Caenorhabditis elegans: one gene and its partner. The protein of the gene in region 2 interacts with the protein of the main gene of each other region in a biochemical or structural test. Each region holds a gene or a part of one and is shown on either strand. Other genes may lie near its edges.

What was found.
Region 1: the proteins of pup-3 (region 2) and dsh-1 form a complex in vitro, tested with the Caenorhabditis elegans proteins (one study listed by BioGRID).

Annotation. Positions count from the first base shown.
Region 1 is NC_003280.10:5,214,675-5,223,417, forward strand, and holds the start of dsh-1 (DiSHevelled related), read right to left. Parts: upstream 6,001-8,743; coding exon 4,482-6,000; intron 4,368-4,481; coding exon 4,292-4,367; intron 3,994-4,291; exon of another isoform or gene 3,790-3,993; intron 2,981-3,789; coding exon 2,859-2,980; intron 2,812-2,858; coding exon 2,571-2,811; intron 2,517-2,570; coding exon 2,341-2,516; intron 1,903-2,340; coding exon 1,666-1,902; intron 1,618-1,665; coding exon 1,450-1,617; intron 1,158-1,449; coding exon 991-1,157; coding exon of another isoform or gene 949-990; exon of another isoform or gene 446-948; intron 371-445; coding exon 258-370; intron 1-257.
Region 2 is NC_003279.8:5,529,403-5,537,523, forward strand, and holds pup-3 (PAP-associated domain-containing protein), read right to left. Parts: upstream 5,248-8,121; 5' UTR 5,120-5,247; intron 4,311-5,119; 5' UTR 4,309-4,310; coding exon 4,114-4,308; intron 3,823-4,113; coding exon 3,723-3,822; intron 3,676-3,722; coding exon 3,491-3,675; intron 3,121-3,490; coding exon 3,012-3,120; intron 2,858-3,011; coding exon 2,729-2,857; intron 2,677-2,728; coding exon 2,484-2,676; intron 1,897-2,483; coding exon 1,359-1,896; 3' UTR 1,214-1,358; downstream 1-1,213. Other genes in the region: cpd-1 (Peptidase M14 domain-containing protein), read left to right, coding at 26-117.

The DNA of each region.
Region 1 (8,743 bases), on a different chromosome or scaffold from region 2:
GAGTTATTTCGAAAAACTATGTCAAAAATGTTAGAGTCTACCGTGTTATATAAAATTGGAACTTTTGAAGTCAGAGAAATTCAGACGAAAGTTTTTAAATTTCCAGTGCCTCACACTTTTCACTTTTTTCCAACTTAAGAAACAAGTTCTTTTGGTGTGGTTTTGAATTTTATTTTTTTCTTGAAAATGTTTAAAAAAGCTATATATCTTTACAAAATACAAAAATTTCTTTGTATGTTTATAGTGGAAAAACTCACTGTTTTCTAATTCCACCGCCACTACTTCCACTGGTTGTACTTCCTTCTCTTCTCTGTTGCTGCAATTGAGCTGGTGGGAATGGTGAAGCCGGCATTGATGCATATCCACTTACCTGTTTATATATTTTTCAAATAATATATTTCTCACTTTGCAATGTTCGTGTGGTGTGAAATATAACAACATTCTTTTGATTCAGAATATTATTTATTATTCTGTCATTCTTGTGGGTGGCAACATTGGACTGATACATTTACATGCTACTGAGAAATGAGGGGGCGAGAAAATAACAATGATATCGAATATAAACAATAATTTTAGGGCAAATGCAATAGAAAACAAGACGTTTTTTTTCTTAGTATAGGGTGCATCTATTTCAGACAAGGATGTGGGGAACTCGTGAAGAAGATCGCAATTCGTGTGAATTTGAGAAGGAAATGCAACAAAAAATCGACGGACAGATTCAAAAATAGAATAATCAAATAAAGGAAAAACATCCAAAATTACAATCACCGGGAACATATGAAATTTTGATTCATGATTGGAGACTTAGAAGTTACAAAATATTAAATTAGAACTTATTGTAATACCGGGTACATGGTGTACTGTGAGAGAAACTATTTTGAATTATGCCATTTTGGCATTGATTACCAGACATAATGAAACATAAACATGAAGAAAAATGATGACATTCTAAATGTGCATTACATACATGCGCGATTCGCCGTCGCTTACCATTGACGGAGCCATCCCTTTAAAAGCTCCAGGAGGGCCAGCCATACCTCCAGGTAAATGTGGGGGTGGGAGCATCACAGAGCTTCCGTTGCCAGCAGACATTCCGTTCATTCCGATGGTCCATTGGTATTTGGGTCCACCATCTTCATTTCGGAATCGGGCATAGTCTGGAAGTAATTTAGAAGATATAACAAGAAGGGTTGAATTTCATGTTTTGAATCAGGCAGGGCAGCCTTGAATGCAACCAACTTTTTTGCATTCCTATGGAGATTACAGGCAGACATTTTTGTGCATCAGTGAAAAATTTGTTTTAAAAATATAATTTGAAAAAAATAATTTTTTAAAACAAATTTTTAACATTTCAGTTCAAAAAAATTGCATTAAAGATTTCAAAAGACCCACTTCCATCTTCATATACAAAAACTTTGACATTTTCCGAATAAATGTATACTTTCCTACCTGAACACTCATCTCCAAGGACATAATAGCACTGCTCAGTGAATGTGACCTTGTTCACCACATGTGCAATATACTTTAATTTCAGTAAATCCGCCGCAAAGTTTCGTGCTGTCTTCCGTTCTCGAAGCCCTTCAACATGATCCAAAAGCCATTCGACCAGATCAGATCCTAAAATTGAGAATTAGAATAGGCTCTACACGTTCATTCAAAACTTACCCAAGAACGACATGGGAATCGGAATTTTGAGCCATGTTCGATTTTTGATATCAAGACCAGAGCCAGGCATAGCCATTATTTCGACAACCTTCTTTTTGTCAGTGTGTATATCAAGAATAATATGAGCTCCGCCGCCGACTACTGTATTTTGACCATTTGATCCGTTTGAGGTCACCGTTGAGCTGCTTGGCGGTCGACCATGAGGCCATTCACCAGGAATTGGTGTCGGTGCACTTTCTGGAAAAAATTTTTTAATTAATAGATATTTGTAGGAGAATAACGTAGAAGAAGAACAAAAAACAACATCGAGGCTGTCTTCCTGCCTGCCTACCTGTTTTCAAAATTTTGGTGCAGAAAAAAGGTTTGACTTAATTTTACATTCAGCCTTCAAAATTAGAGATGTGAAAAATTTCATATTTTTATTTTTGTTTCAAAAAAAAATTGAAAATTCCAAAAAGCTTTCCAAATGTTGTTCTACTTTAAAATATCCTAAAACATCAGAAGTCTGAAAAACATCAACTTGAAAGTAGCGAAGAAATGCACTGAATAAATTTCAGCCTGAAGTTGAATAGGTTGAGAGTGCAGCTTATAATTTTGCAAAAAATAAAAAGATCAATCAAATAACAGGCAGGTATTTTGTTTAGTTTTTCTACACTTCCAATCAAAAAACCATACCTTCAACTATACTTGGCATTCCTCTCATTGCATTCGTATGCTGGATCCATGCTTGAGTATCGATTGGTCTCACAGGCTCTTCTCTGCTATTCCTTGGTATTGTGAAACAACTTTGCCCATTTTCAAAACTTTTCGCCACAGTTAATTTGATGGGGCCACGACGGCTAACAGCTTCTCTGAAAATTCATATGTTGAAGAATAAGCTCTCAGTAAAAAATAATAATTTTTACCGTAACACATCAACAGCTTGATCGTTAGTGAAATTCTCAAAGCTGGTCTCATTGACTTGTAAAATCATATCACCAGCTTCAATTCTTCCATCCAATGCCACTGCACCTCCCTTCATGATATTTGCTACGTAGATTCCATTATCACCACAATTAGAAGTTTGACCAACAATTGAAATGCCAAGGAAATTGACTGTATCCATATTGAGGTTCACTGTTATTACATCAAGGCTCATAGAGGACTCTGGAATTCGAATGGTAAAAGTTATGCTAATTTCGAAGAGGTCATACCTGTGATACTTGAAAACGAAGATGCTCTAGAGGGTTTTCGGAAATTTCTTTTATTCTTCTTTTTCTTTGCCATTTTTTCATGTTGTCGGGATACTGATGTGAAATCGGTTGTTGTAGAGCCTCTGAAAAATTGAACGTTTTATAGTTGAAATTGTTATAGATTTTTCAGAATTTTCAGTCCAACTTTTGAAAATTGAGTCTTATTGAGAAACTTAAAGAAGCTTTGCATATTCGATGCCCCACAAAATAAATACAAATGATTTTAAAATTTAAAAAAAAACTGTAGAAATTTTTTAAAATCGAATTATTAATTTATGATAAGCGAAAACTGGTTAATTTCCATTTTGGACTGTAAATAAAAATTTCATAATTTTTTGAAAATCTTACTGTGGTTTTCAGTGATTTTTGCAACTCGTGAGTAACTTTGAACGTTATCAACTAAAATTTTACATGGTTTTCACTAGCTAAAAAAGGAAAACTAATGAGAATTGTGTTCCGTGAAATTCTAAATATAAGCGGAGCACTGCACAAAACAAAATGTTCAAATTCCTTAAAGTTACAACCTAGAAGTTTGTTCCACAAAATCCGAAAAGAACTGAAAGATTTATCGAAAGCAATTATCCACTTCTCATCCATCTCTTTCCACCCGTTCTCACGTCCTTTTCTTCCCCTCCCCAATTTTTATTAGTTTCCTTCAAATAGTGCACAACACTAAGAGCTTGTTGTGATAGTCACTACCAGGCTTTAGCTAGAAGATAAGCGCCAAGCAGGAATTGCTCAAATTTAACGAGCTGTGTCTTATCGCAGAATAAATGAACTGACACGTCGCGAGTTGTGGCACCCGTGCTGCTCGGCGGAGCTGTTCCAATTGCATAGTAATAATCAGAAGTTGAAGTGGAAGTTGTTGAATAATAGGCTTTACCATCAGAGCTTGCGAAATCATCGTCAGTTATGTAGCCGCTCATTTCACTATTTGAGGAGCGGAAGGGCGAAATCATTGGGGGCAGAGTGAGCGGGGATGAAGGCCCGCTTTAAGCCTAGTCATTTGTCACTTTATGTGACAGACAGAGAAGACACAAAAAAAGGTATTAACTATTTGAGAGGCAAAATGAAAACCATCGAATTTTTGAAAATATTTAAAATTTAAAATTTCAAAGGGGTATTGCCTATTCGTAAACTTGGTTTTGTTTTTATGAGTTGTTATATTTTGAATGTAAATTTTTTTCAATGTTGCATATTCCTTGAGATAGCCCTGCAAGACCTGAATGTAGCCCTATTATAACTTAAACTTTTGCTTTAATTTTTTATAAATAAAAATTTGCCGAATAAAATACACTAAATTTTGAAAGGAACACTGTCACCAGAGTACTGGCTTTACATAAAAATTCAATGAAATGAAACCTATGTTTATAAAATTAAAAAAAAAAACATACCTATCATCATCATCTGAAAATACTCTTGCATCGGATTCGGAGCCAATTGTTGATTCTTCGAGATGTCGTCGGTGCCCTGGAATTTAAGAAAACTTAGAATTCGATGCTTTTTCAAATTTTCATAAGATTTTGTTTTTTGAACCTATTACCCTTTACTTGATCACATCATTTTTCGCCATCATTTACCTACCGATCAAATAAAACGATGCATCTGCACTAAGTTCAGAGGTTAAGGATAGATGTGACGTCCTATGTAGAAATCCAATAAGATGTCTTCTCGGCGAAGCATCCGGTGCAACATCTTTCCTTCCTTGATAAGTACTTGTTGTATTTGATCCGCCGTACCTTCGCATTCTGCGCTTCTGTGCTCGATCCGCTCTCTCCTCTTCCACCATTGCCGCTGTACTTGCTGTTTCTTCCTCATAAAGTGGCGGAAGCGATGGACTAGTTGGAATCAGTGACATTGTACGGCTCATTGTGCTTCTTCGTGAAACAAGAGGTCGGCAATCAGATGATAGACCACTTCCATCTACAGTGACCGGCCGACACCTATCGATTCGGTTCAAACTTCGACTTTCAGATATAGTAATACTAGGAATAATAGGTGGACGATCGGTGGTTATTTGACACGTTTTGGATTTTCTGAGCTCCCTAGATGGCGGAGCAAGTGAAACAGGGGAATCAGGAGCCGCAAGGGAAAAAGTTGGTCTGGCTAATGCTGCAGCTGGTGCAATGAGATCCGGTGGTGGTGGCTGAGGTGGGCTCAGATTCTCTTTGAATTCTTTAGTATTAGATCGAGAACTTGATGGTGATGGAGATGCAGACCGAGATTTTGAACCACCAAGTGAAGTTAAAGACGTTAAACTTGCAGCCGAGTGGGACAATCTGATAAGAGCTCCAAAAAACGATGAAGAGGCGGAACCACCACCGGACTCTTTTCCGTTGGCGCCTCCTGCACTTTTTTCGCTTTGTTTCCGTCGTTGTAAAAATCTGCGCTTCGTTGTCGTCTTAGTATTATCCCCCTCTTCGTCGTTACAATCATCTGATGCTTTGCTGGTGCCGGGAAACAGGAGAGCCCCCTCGCTGAGCCGTTTTTTAAGTGGACCACCGAGCGCATTTGAGACCATCTGTCGCCATGTGGATCCGGCAGGTGTATGATTATTTGTGAGATCAGTTAAAGTCCGTTTTAATCGAAATGGTGCCTCAGACTCCGGCTCCACACGACTTTTACTTCTGCTCTTCTTCAACTTTTTCCCCGTACTTGGTTGCTGCTGGCTTCCTGAATTTTCCTTATCATCAGAAGCTTTGGAGGAAGGGAGAATGTTGTTCAGAATTTTCAAATTTCCTAATGGATTTCCTGTATATTTCTTCCTTCTTGGACTTTTTACAACTTCCGAGACGATAGTTTTCTCATCATCAACCAAATCAAGATCATCAATCTTAGCAAGTGGTGGAGCCTTTTTCTTCTTTTTTGGTCTTGACGATGTATTTGTAGGTGACGTTTTCAACTCAATCTTGTTAATCAATTGTGATACAACTCCCGGCGAGTGTTGTCGATTTGGTGGAGGAGCCGTGTATGTCGAACGGACTTTTCGTTCTTTTGAAGTGAATAATAATGAGCGAATCATATCAGATGAAGTGGATGGGGTATTTGAGGAGCCAGAAGGAGATGGAAGGGCTCTATCTCGAGCTCCAAGCTTGATACTCATTGCTCGCTAGTGAGCTATGAGCAATCGTGTCGTTCTCTAGAAAATCGGTTTTAAGTTTTTGATAGTAATAGAGCTGGGAAGTAATAAAAAAGCTTGAAGGTAATAAAAAGAAGAGAAAGAAACGAGAAACACACCTCGATGGGGGGTCATAAATTTCCCAGCATCCCATCTTGTGGCTCATGATGCACTTGGATTAGAAACAGATACTTTCGTTTTACTTTTATCATGTGCTGGGAATTTAGAGAGAAACTGAGAATTTAATAGTCGACACATCGGGAAAGTTGGTACTCAAAATAATCCTGTTGACACCATAAACACTGTCGTTAAACTTTAATCGGACTTGACATATGTCATGTTAAATCTCAATTGACTCGACTATGATAGTGACATCTAAAATTGATAAATTCCTATATAATGAGAAATGCAAAGATTGAGATATTATAATTTTAATATAATATAATTGGTCTATGAGTTTGTTAAGATTCAAGCCATAACAGTAGAAAAATTTAAAAAAAACTCAAGTTTTTATACGCTTAAATCTCGATGTTATTTTGAAAGACAAATGTTTGCTTTCATTTAACTTTTATTTAATTAATCGTTAACATTCACTGATACATCTAATAAAATTAAAATTATAGTTCAATACGTTTCGGTCGAAACTATGTGGCTATCAATTAATAAGATTTTCCCCGTTTCGCAAAAGAGCTTCAGAATAAGTGTTACCATTTCTCAACTAACAAATTTCTTCAACTGGTGGGCTGGAAAATGGCACATGACAACTAAAACCAAGAGCTCACTATCAGTTATTTATATCAACAAATTGCAACTTGACTTATGGCTCACAGTCAAACACCGCAGAGATCCAGAGGAAAACACAATTTGCTATGGTCAGATTAAATGGCAGTTGCTTAAAGAATATTGATCGAAAATTTTTCATCATGACTAGTTGAACAAAGAGTTGCAAATTGATCTCACTGAAACATGTTGCAATGGCTCTTGATGATGACGAAGTATAAAATCAAATGTTTGAATCCACCTACACACATGGGCTAGCAAACATTGATCGGAGGCAGGAAAAGCGGATAAAGCATAGAAAAGATCATTATCAAACTGTCTTTTCTCCCCAAAATCCCGATAGGTATCATGATAGAAATCACAAGTGAGGGATATCCGAAAGTAAATAAAACCACAGATCTCACTATTATAAGGCAGATATCTATTTTCGTGTTAACGAGAATGAGAGCAATATTATGAGATCCTGGGGTGGGTACTAGAGACTATTTCGACACAAAAACGATAATAGTGACAAGTAGAAACATACACAGAAATCGACAAGTGAGCGGACAAAAAAAACTAACTAAAAGTGGGGTGAAGTGGTATGAGGTCTCGAGAAGAGTGTTCAAGTGGAGAGAGAGACAGAAGGAAAGCATCTTGATAAACACTGTGATAAACTCATCGGTCTTCGGGTTTTCATTCCCACTGACGTCGAGCACAGAGATATAGAGAACGGTTTCTCACAAAAAGTGGTGGAGCAAGCAAGGAGCCCGGTTGACCCCCTAACAGAGAAGTTCAAGGACTAATGTTACAAAAGATCGAGAATTGGATGTCAAAGAACATATTTTTCCAATTAACAATGCTTACAAATTCTACCGTACACTACAGTTCTTAAGGTCGCAAAGAGATATTTTTGGTATCTGGTTAATAATTTTTTATTCTCTAATGTCGAAGCTAAACTAAACTAGCTGTGACTTGTTCGCAATTTACCATTTTCAGATGTCATTGTCAGATATTTCAGAACAAAAATTTTTGAAATAAAACAGCTGGGTAGCCTTTCAATGCAACTAGATATCCTGAAAATAATAATCTATTTGTTTCAAAAGTAACAAAATACTTTTTTTTTAATTTTCAACAAAAGAGAGTTTGGATGAATTTCTAATTTGGAGGAAAATTAAAACAGATTATAAAATACGAATTTTATAGAATTTGAGAATATGCTCCTCAGATTAAATTTTCAGAAAAACACAATGAACTAAAATACTTTGAAAAGAAGTTGTACACAAAAGGGAGAATTTCAATTGATTTATACACCCAGCTACCAGGTAATAACCACAATTATGTGATTTTAATTCCACGTAATCACACTGGGGAAATCATCGATATGTATGTGTGTGTGTGTGATTAAATTGAAATGAAATGAAATGTATGTATAAACATTGAATGAAAGCAAAGAAGGAGGAGATCTCCACTCATTGAAATGTGTGTTGGTTGGTTGACTGGCAGCCAGCCAACAAGATGAGCCCAGAAGATAGAATTGAAACAATTGGTCCTTTCTCTGTGCTCTCTCATTTCTTTATGATCTATGAGAAGTGATCTGGGAGATCGGCTCATTAACACCAACATAAAACATGAAAATCAACGGAAGGACATGATGGGGTGAAAGTGTTGAAATGATGTGATCAAGATTTTATGAGGGGAAGTTTTATTGGGTTCACTGACACAATGTAAAAGTTTGCGAGAACTTTCTTAAGAACTTTTTGAGACGAGGTTTTTCTTCCAATTTTTTCTGAAACACTTGGGACCAAGTTCATCGTGTTTCCCGTTTCTCAATTACCCCAAAAGCTAATGTTTGTTTTTTTACCATACAAAGCCTTGAGCCATCTAAGCATTCACAAAAATGCTCACTAGCCTTGACAACTGGCTATACGTGTAATTAGGCACTTTTGTGATTGCATGAGAGGCCCAC
Region 2 (8,121 bases):
CTGATTTTATTCCATTTATTTCCAGGAATGGGATCGAAAGGAGGATTCGAAAGAATTCCATTGTATAAATCGGATGATGAAGATGAGGATGAAGTGTTCGATTTGCAGAAATTATGAAATCATTTAAGATTCAAATATCTGACTGAATGGCTGGCAACTCTTTCAAAAAACGGGTCTTTACTGATTTTAGTGATTCTTAATTTATGTTCCTGTAGATTCCGATGGGTATTTAATTATTTTTTTTAGAGATTTCAATTTGAATTTTAAATCTTGTGATTTTTCTTGATGAACTGGTTATATTTAACTTCTTAATGTCACTCTTTTTGATGTGCTTTCCAATAAAAATACAACTCTTCCACAGAAATACAAGCTTTTTCTCATAATGTTTTTTGGAGAAAACCCCTCAAAAATCAACAGTTGAGTAGTAATCTTCTGTTGGATTTAAGGGATTTTTTTTAGAACTTACTCAAAATCCAAATTAACGCAAATTAACGCAAATGAAATTCGCGATTTCAAGCTCAAATGTAAAATCAGGGAAATTTTTAGAATTTTTTCAAATAGATATTCGGATTCAGGGGCAAAGTTGGATTCAAATAAAAATATTTCCCGAATTTCGGTACTCTGTCGATACGTAACTTTTCGTATTTACCTTAAACGACTTTGGTATTTTGTCAATTTTTTTAAAGCAAAATTTCGGTTTTTATAAGTTTTATAAGTTTTTTTCCTAAAATGTAGTTGCGTATGTATTTTTTTAAAAGTTAAAAAGTTTTTAAAAAGTGTATTTTAAAGTGTAAAAAAAGTGTAAAAAGTGTACCAAAATTAGTGACTCTGGCCGTTCACCAAAAATTCGCTTTTTTTTAATTTTTAAAATTTAAAAGTTTTTGAAAGTTTCTCATTCCGTAGAACTTACATTTGAGCTAAAAAAAACTTAGCTTTTTAAATAAATCCATAAACGAACTTTTTTGATTATTTCGGTTTTGTTTTTTGGTTCATAATTATTTTTTAGTCGGAGCCCCGGTATGCATGTAGTGAAAAATTATTAGGTACGCACGCCTAAAAAAATAAAGACTATGTTGTGTTAATTTCGTAATAAAAACAGTTTTTTCTTTAACAATTTAAACTATTACTAGCTTTACATATTATTATAGTTCAGTTTGCCAGGAAAATTGTTTTCGCGTTTTTCAAAGACAGTTTTGATGTGAAACGAAACGGATATTATTAATATATTTTATTAAATTCACATAGAGTTCTACAAGTTGAATTAAAAGTGATCGATTGTCACTTACCGACCTAAAAATGTTTGATTATAACTATTTCTACTTGCAAAACCCTATATAACAACTCAATTATTAATAAAGTCAAATCAAATTTTCAAATATCGCATATGGATTTGTACGAAGTAGCTCAGGCCATAAATTATCTCTTCTTTGATTTTCAGTCGTTTGTTCTGAACACCAGAAGACCTTTGGGTGTTGATTTGTAGGTGAAAAGGTTCGAGGACTTGTGAAATCAACGACTGTACCCCATGGAACTTCTTCTTCAGTCGGCAAATTAGCAATTCTTAATTTGCGAAGCTCATCTTGAAGAATCATAATTTGAAGATCTCGTTCCATTCCCTCTTTTCTCAATTTTCTACTCCAATTGCATTGGTAAAGATTGAAAATTGTCTTTCTCTTCAGAATTCGCTCGTACTCCTCTCTAAACTCGAGTTGAATTCTTTCCATGTAGTTCTGCTGACGGACGGTTCCAGCACAGTTTCTCGGAATTTCCAACAATGGATCCGCGACGACAATAAAACGGCAATCCTTTGGCATTCCATTTTTTGGAACTCTTGTCTTTGACCATTTCTTTTTCAACACGTTTCCATGTTTAATCGAGATCCAATTCCATTTGAAACTGAAATGTAAAACATGAGTTATTACATAACATTCTCATATTCTCTTTCAGTATGGCGAAAAAAAAACGATAATTTTCTGATTTTTTTTAAAATGAATTATATGTAACTAATTTTACAGTGAAGAAGTGGTGCTTACTCATCTAACATAATCAATCGAAAAATTTTGTACTAGTTTTATATTGTAATATTTTTTACATGTAACTAGTTATGTATTTTTATTTTTCAGTTAAACATTTCAGGGGTTGCAAAAATGCTCTAGTTTGTCAGAAAAAAGTGGCAATTTGCAAAATAATTGATTGAAAATTTGTAAAATCTAAACAATTTTTGGGAGTTGTTTGTTATGATTTTCAGTTATCTTAAACAGGTAAGTAATTATATTAGACCAGATGCTGACCGCGCCTCCGGCGCATCCAACTGGTTGGAATAAATTTCAAATACCCCTTGAAAATAACATTGAAATTTTGAAATTAATTTGATTTTTTTGAAAATGAAAACCTGCCTACATTGGACGGAAGGAAACTCTACTGTATATATAGTAAATGATGATTACAAAAATCAAAGAAATATAAGAATAAACAAAACTCACTTGAACTCTGAGTAATACTTCATGAATCCAATGAAAAGCACAGCTAGACTGCTTGTGTTCTGATTGAAATCGAATGCTCCTTTTTCCAGAATTTCAATTTTCAAGTCTCTTTTCATATAGTTGTCATCCTCCACGACTATATCACCATTCAACTCGGGAAATATTTCTTGAATGTTTAGAAGAACTTGAACCGCTGGAAAAACCATAATTTAAAGTTTGTATGTTTTGTAGTAAATTGTGCATACTCTGAAGATAATGGATGAGCATCAAACAGAGGGAAAAACTGTTGAGCCGTCCTCTGCTGGCTCCTTCGACTCCACAACTTGCCGCCCATGCTTTCATCGCTTTGCACAATAGTGGAAACCTTGTGTCTACTGAAAATAATCAACTATTAAAAAACTGATTTTTTTTCCTTTTGATAAAACCAATTAGAACAGATTTGTGAGCTATTAAAGTTAAGCCACGAGGTGAAAAAACTTATATATTTCAAGAAACATCTTGCATAAAGTTTTAAGAGAGTTAACTTACATTGACTATAAAATGCCAAAAGCTGAGTGTTCCGTTTTGAGGTATCATTGTCGATTGTAACATCAATTGATACTTTTGTTTCCGCATGCATCAGTTGAAGAACCGGAATCTGAAAATTGGTCCAGTTTTTAAAAAATAAATTTAAATTTTGAAACTCGCTTTTTTAAATTATTTATAATACAAGTTTATCGGGATAATATTTTCCGCTGAAATTAGTACGGCTGAAAACCGGTTAGAACTGGGTTGGTTTTAATTGGAAATCTTCTAGTTTGAAAATTTTTCTCAATTTTGCCCTTAAAAAAATCCCCAATATCGATGTATCTACACTTTTGTGCGGGAGAAATGTTAAGCAGACATATCTGCATGCCTTTGTAGTTTACATTTATTATTATGTTTTGTTTCTATTAACTTGTTAAGAGCTCATTTTAAAAAGTCGGCAGGCAGTTTTGTATTTTCAAATATTTCAGAAAAAAACGTACGTTTCCTTTTTGCACATAAGCCTTCGAGAAGATTGTGTAGTAACAGCTGAGTTCTTTTCTCAACTGCATCAATTTCAAAAATGGATTTGCACCTTCCAAAGTTGGAACCTTGACGGTAAAATCAATATCAGAGGAGAAGATGTCAACTCCGGCAGGATATGATCCAGTGATGAAGCATGTCGAATCTCAAAATGACTTTTGGTATTAAGCTTTTATAAAATGTACTCTGTACCTGGATATTCTTGTTTCATGACCGCTCTGAATTGAGCTGCTGCCTTTCGAAGAGGTTCTTGATGATGTGTGTCGACGAAGGATTCGATTTCTTGATTTATCTGAAAATGTAATTGTTTTAACTATAAAATTCAATTTATCAAGAATCATACATTTGGGGGCAAACTTCTAGCATGACAATTTATCAAAAGCTGTGCTCAGACGAGTTGCCAAGTTGGCTAAAAGGAAGTTGGTAGATACGCTTTTAAACAAAATTGCCAGTTTGGCAAGAGTTTTGCAATTTTGGCACGAGGTTGTAAACGAATAAAATTTGAAAGTTGCTAAAGTTTGGTAGAAAGTTTCGCCCAAATGTTGAGTAACTGTTTTCTTAAACTACTGAGTTTCAAACTTACTCTGTGCTCAACGTATGTATTTTCAAATTCGAATCCCTGATCATTGGAAGTTCCAGCCTGCTGCGTGATCTGTTGAAAGCTCAAATTTGAAATGGCTTCAAGTTTTGGGCATTCTGGAGCTTCAGGACAATATAGTGCAAGGGGGGCTGGACCTCTGGGTGTGGTAAGTACTGATGCATATGTTCTTGGAGCCATTTCTGAAACAAATAAAGATGGAGAATGTAGAAGAATAATCGGAGATGTTTTTAAATCAGAAAATTATGCAAAACATTTACAGATTGAATGGATAAACAAAAATGATGAAAAAAGTAGAGCAATGACAAGGTTGTGTACGTAAGACGCTCTATTCATCGTCTCTTCATACAAATATCGGTTTTACGAGTAACTGGAGATGGGAGGCAGTGTGCTCCTCCTCCTTACCAATACAGAATTGCCCTTGTGGGATGTCCAAGGGTCAGTTGAACACAAAATAGTGTACTTGGCAAGAATAAGGAGGATGACACAGCACGGAAATTTTTACAGTTTATAGCATAAGGACGGGTCATCACAGAATGTTTTTGAACATTTCTTGAGAAAAAGATTTATGTATGCATAGGTATGTAGGCTTGCAGGTAGGTATGAGAGCAGGTCGACAATCATGAAGGTACACATGTAGGCAAGCAGGCGGGTACGTAAATATAAATAGGCGCCAGACTTCCCGCGGCTGTTTTTGTTACATTAGAAAATGTATCGATGGGTAGGTTTTTTACGTGGATCGACATTCTACGAACTTGATCACTAATTATATTTATTTTGTTTTTTTTTTTAATTTCATAATAATTCACCGAACTCTGAGAATGCCGGCAATATGAAAAAACAATCCCGAATTTCCCATTTTCCAAATCGGACGCCGGATAGGTAGGTTCGTAGGTATAGGCACGTACGCAGCAGGCAGAGGTTGGACGGATTCCTACCTCTAACTTGACGCCTAATAGAAATAGAGTGCAACAAGTCAAAAACAACTTACAGAATTTTTTTGGAACAAAAAGTGATGCGGCTACTTTTCAATTCAGTGAACTGATAATGATATCATTGATGAGTATTTCTAATCAGTTGAGAAAGTACGACCTATGATGCCACGTGACAATATTGGACACTATAAAAACTGAAATTATTAAAAGGGTCCCAACTCTCCTAGAGGTACGCAGAAAAAAGTTTTTTGTGACATCAAAGGTCATGTCATCCTGAAAACCTTCGCGGGCACAAAGATACGTGCTCCGACATGCTCCGACGGAGGCACTCCAAATCGCAGTAGCAACTTTAGAATTTCCGCTATAGATGGAACAGAAGCATCAAGTTTCAAAAACACTTCTTAAAAAGTAAAAATATGTTTCATTGTTCAGTATATTCTTTTTCTGTGGAAAACATGTTTGATAGTAGACTTGAGGTTGCCACGTTTTACTGAGGACAAAAAAGAAAACGCAACGTTTCAAAACGTTAAATATGATCACAGAATGTTCTCGAAGATGGTTCACAAATTTTGAAAAAAAATAAAAAGGGGGAGGGGAATGCAAATAGGAAAGGTGCATCTCTTACGTGTTAACCAGGCTGGACGTTTTTGACAGTCAAACAAAGAATCGATTTTTATTGTTGGGAATTCAATTTTTCTCAACAAAATAAGCATCGTCCGACGCAAGTGAGCAAAGGGGTCTGTTCAGTATCACATCAAAACACGAGAACAAATCGATAATGGCATCAGAGGAAGGTAATTCGAATTGAGGTGAACAGGATCCAAAAGAAGGAAAGAGATTATTCAAATTGGTATCAAATGTGAACAAAAAGGGCACCGTTGAGAGAGAATCGGGATTTTATGAATGTTCGTTTGGGATTTCTGGTTAAAAAACGAAATTGAGTGAGGGAATAGGTGACAAGCAAAATGGAGTTGAATTGATTTAAATGATCTATGTACATGCGTGACGCACAATTACAAATACATAAAAAGTGTTATGCATGTTTTATGTTAGCACCAGCGGAAAATTGATTAAAACCACTTCTGTATCGCTAAGATTAAAGGGGTTTTTTAAAGTCATATTTTGTCAGTAGACACATATACGGCTGGCATCTTTTGACTAAAATATTATATTGTTTGATAAATAATCAGATTAAACTTCTTAATCTAAGTTTTTTCCACAATACCGAACTATTTCCAAAATCAACACAGAAGTAACATTTTAGTGGGTTCTTGAACGCGTTCTTACAGAATTCAAGTTTTCTTATATGCGCCAGAAGTTAAATTTTAAATTTTCAGGATCTCAAACATTATCAAGAAATTGATGATACGCTGGAAAAGTGCGCTGGATATTTAGAGAGGGAAGTTTTGAAGGCAGAGATAAGAGTGACTACTGTTAAATAACAAAACATAAATTATAGGGACAACATTTCTGAATAAATAATATAGCAAAAAATGAAACTTCAGTTTTTGCGATTCTCCTTTTTTTGGAACAAGACAGGCCAATAAACGCCTACCGAACACTGAAGGATGTGTGTTGCTTGGGAACAATCGGGTGGATGAAAATATAAGAAACGCAGACTTGGTACATCCAAGCAGGTGACGTCTCTAAGGTGGCGGAAGATGAAACGAAGCTGGGTGGCATTGAATAATTGATGTCAGAATGTGACAAGTATTGTTTTGTGGAAGATATTGATTGAGTTTATAAGATCTTATCATACTATCGAAAAAATACGATCGCACAATTTTCTCATAATTTATTTTTGATCTACCTGTTGAACTTGACTCCGCCCCTTCCTTCGATAAGACAGCCACAACAAAATAAAAACGGCAACAAGATTGGGAGCCGAGTCCAGTTCAACAGGTAGATCAAAAATAAATTATGAGAAATTAGTACGATCGTATTTTTCGATAATACAAGAGTCTATTATCAACGTTATAATTTTTAGGTACAATTAATTGTTGTTGATTAAATAATACAGAACCTTTTTATTCAAAAAAATCCTAAGTGGGTAAGAATTGTTTTTTTTCTGAACAAATCGTAAGGGGGTAACGAGGATTTTGGAAACATGCGGTAGTTAAGTGTTTTCCACGCCTCATCATGACTATGTTGTTTTTTACTGCCAAAACTTAGCCATCGATCCTTAAACGGCGTTTTTCGGCGGAGAAGGACGGGGCTGTGAGGTTTTTGCTTTTTTTTTTGAAATATCCATCTATGCCCCATTTATAGAACTTTAAATAAAAGTTGAACCACTCCGTACGCTTGTAAACTCCGCCAACCTCTGCGGAACAAAAAAAGTTCAAGGATCGATTGATAAATTTCGAGAGTAATAAAGTATTTAACTTCAATGTAAACATTTTTGTATCTAAAAATACTTAAAATAATTATTTATTGAGCTGTTATCCCATTGTCTCTTCTCAACTTATAAGAACTGATTCTGGTTTTCCTTTTGCAAGTAATCTTCTGAAATTCTTCAAACCTTTGCGCTTTTTGTTCCATTCTCTCCTGGTCAATTCCCATTTTTTCCAAGAACTCATGAACAAGAGCAGAGTAGTTCTTTGCAAGTAATTTTTGTTCCCTATTTTTTGGGGGAAAAAGTAGATTGTTCACCGAGAACCCTTTTTCCTTACCAACATCATTCTGTCAAAAAAGGGAGAAGCCATAAAGAGAGGAAATGAGAGCAGTTGACTAGTGAAAGACAAAGAGAACCAATAGAAAAGTGAGAAGAAAAAAGGAAAAAGAATTTGAGTATGTATATGTTTTTGGAAAACAAATGTGAATTGAGCAAAAAAAGAGCAAAGTGACATGTAGAAATGATGTGTGTATGAAATCAACAATGACTACTACACACTTTTCCTTTTTTATATAGTTTATGATTTTATATATACCAACTCTAACTAAATGAATGATTTATCGAAAACTAATTTATGTTAAAGGTTTAAAAGCAGTTTGAATCAATTAGAAATGAGCAAAAGTTTTTATTCGCTAAAAGTGTTGATCTTTCAAAAATACATCGGCT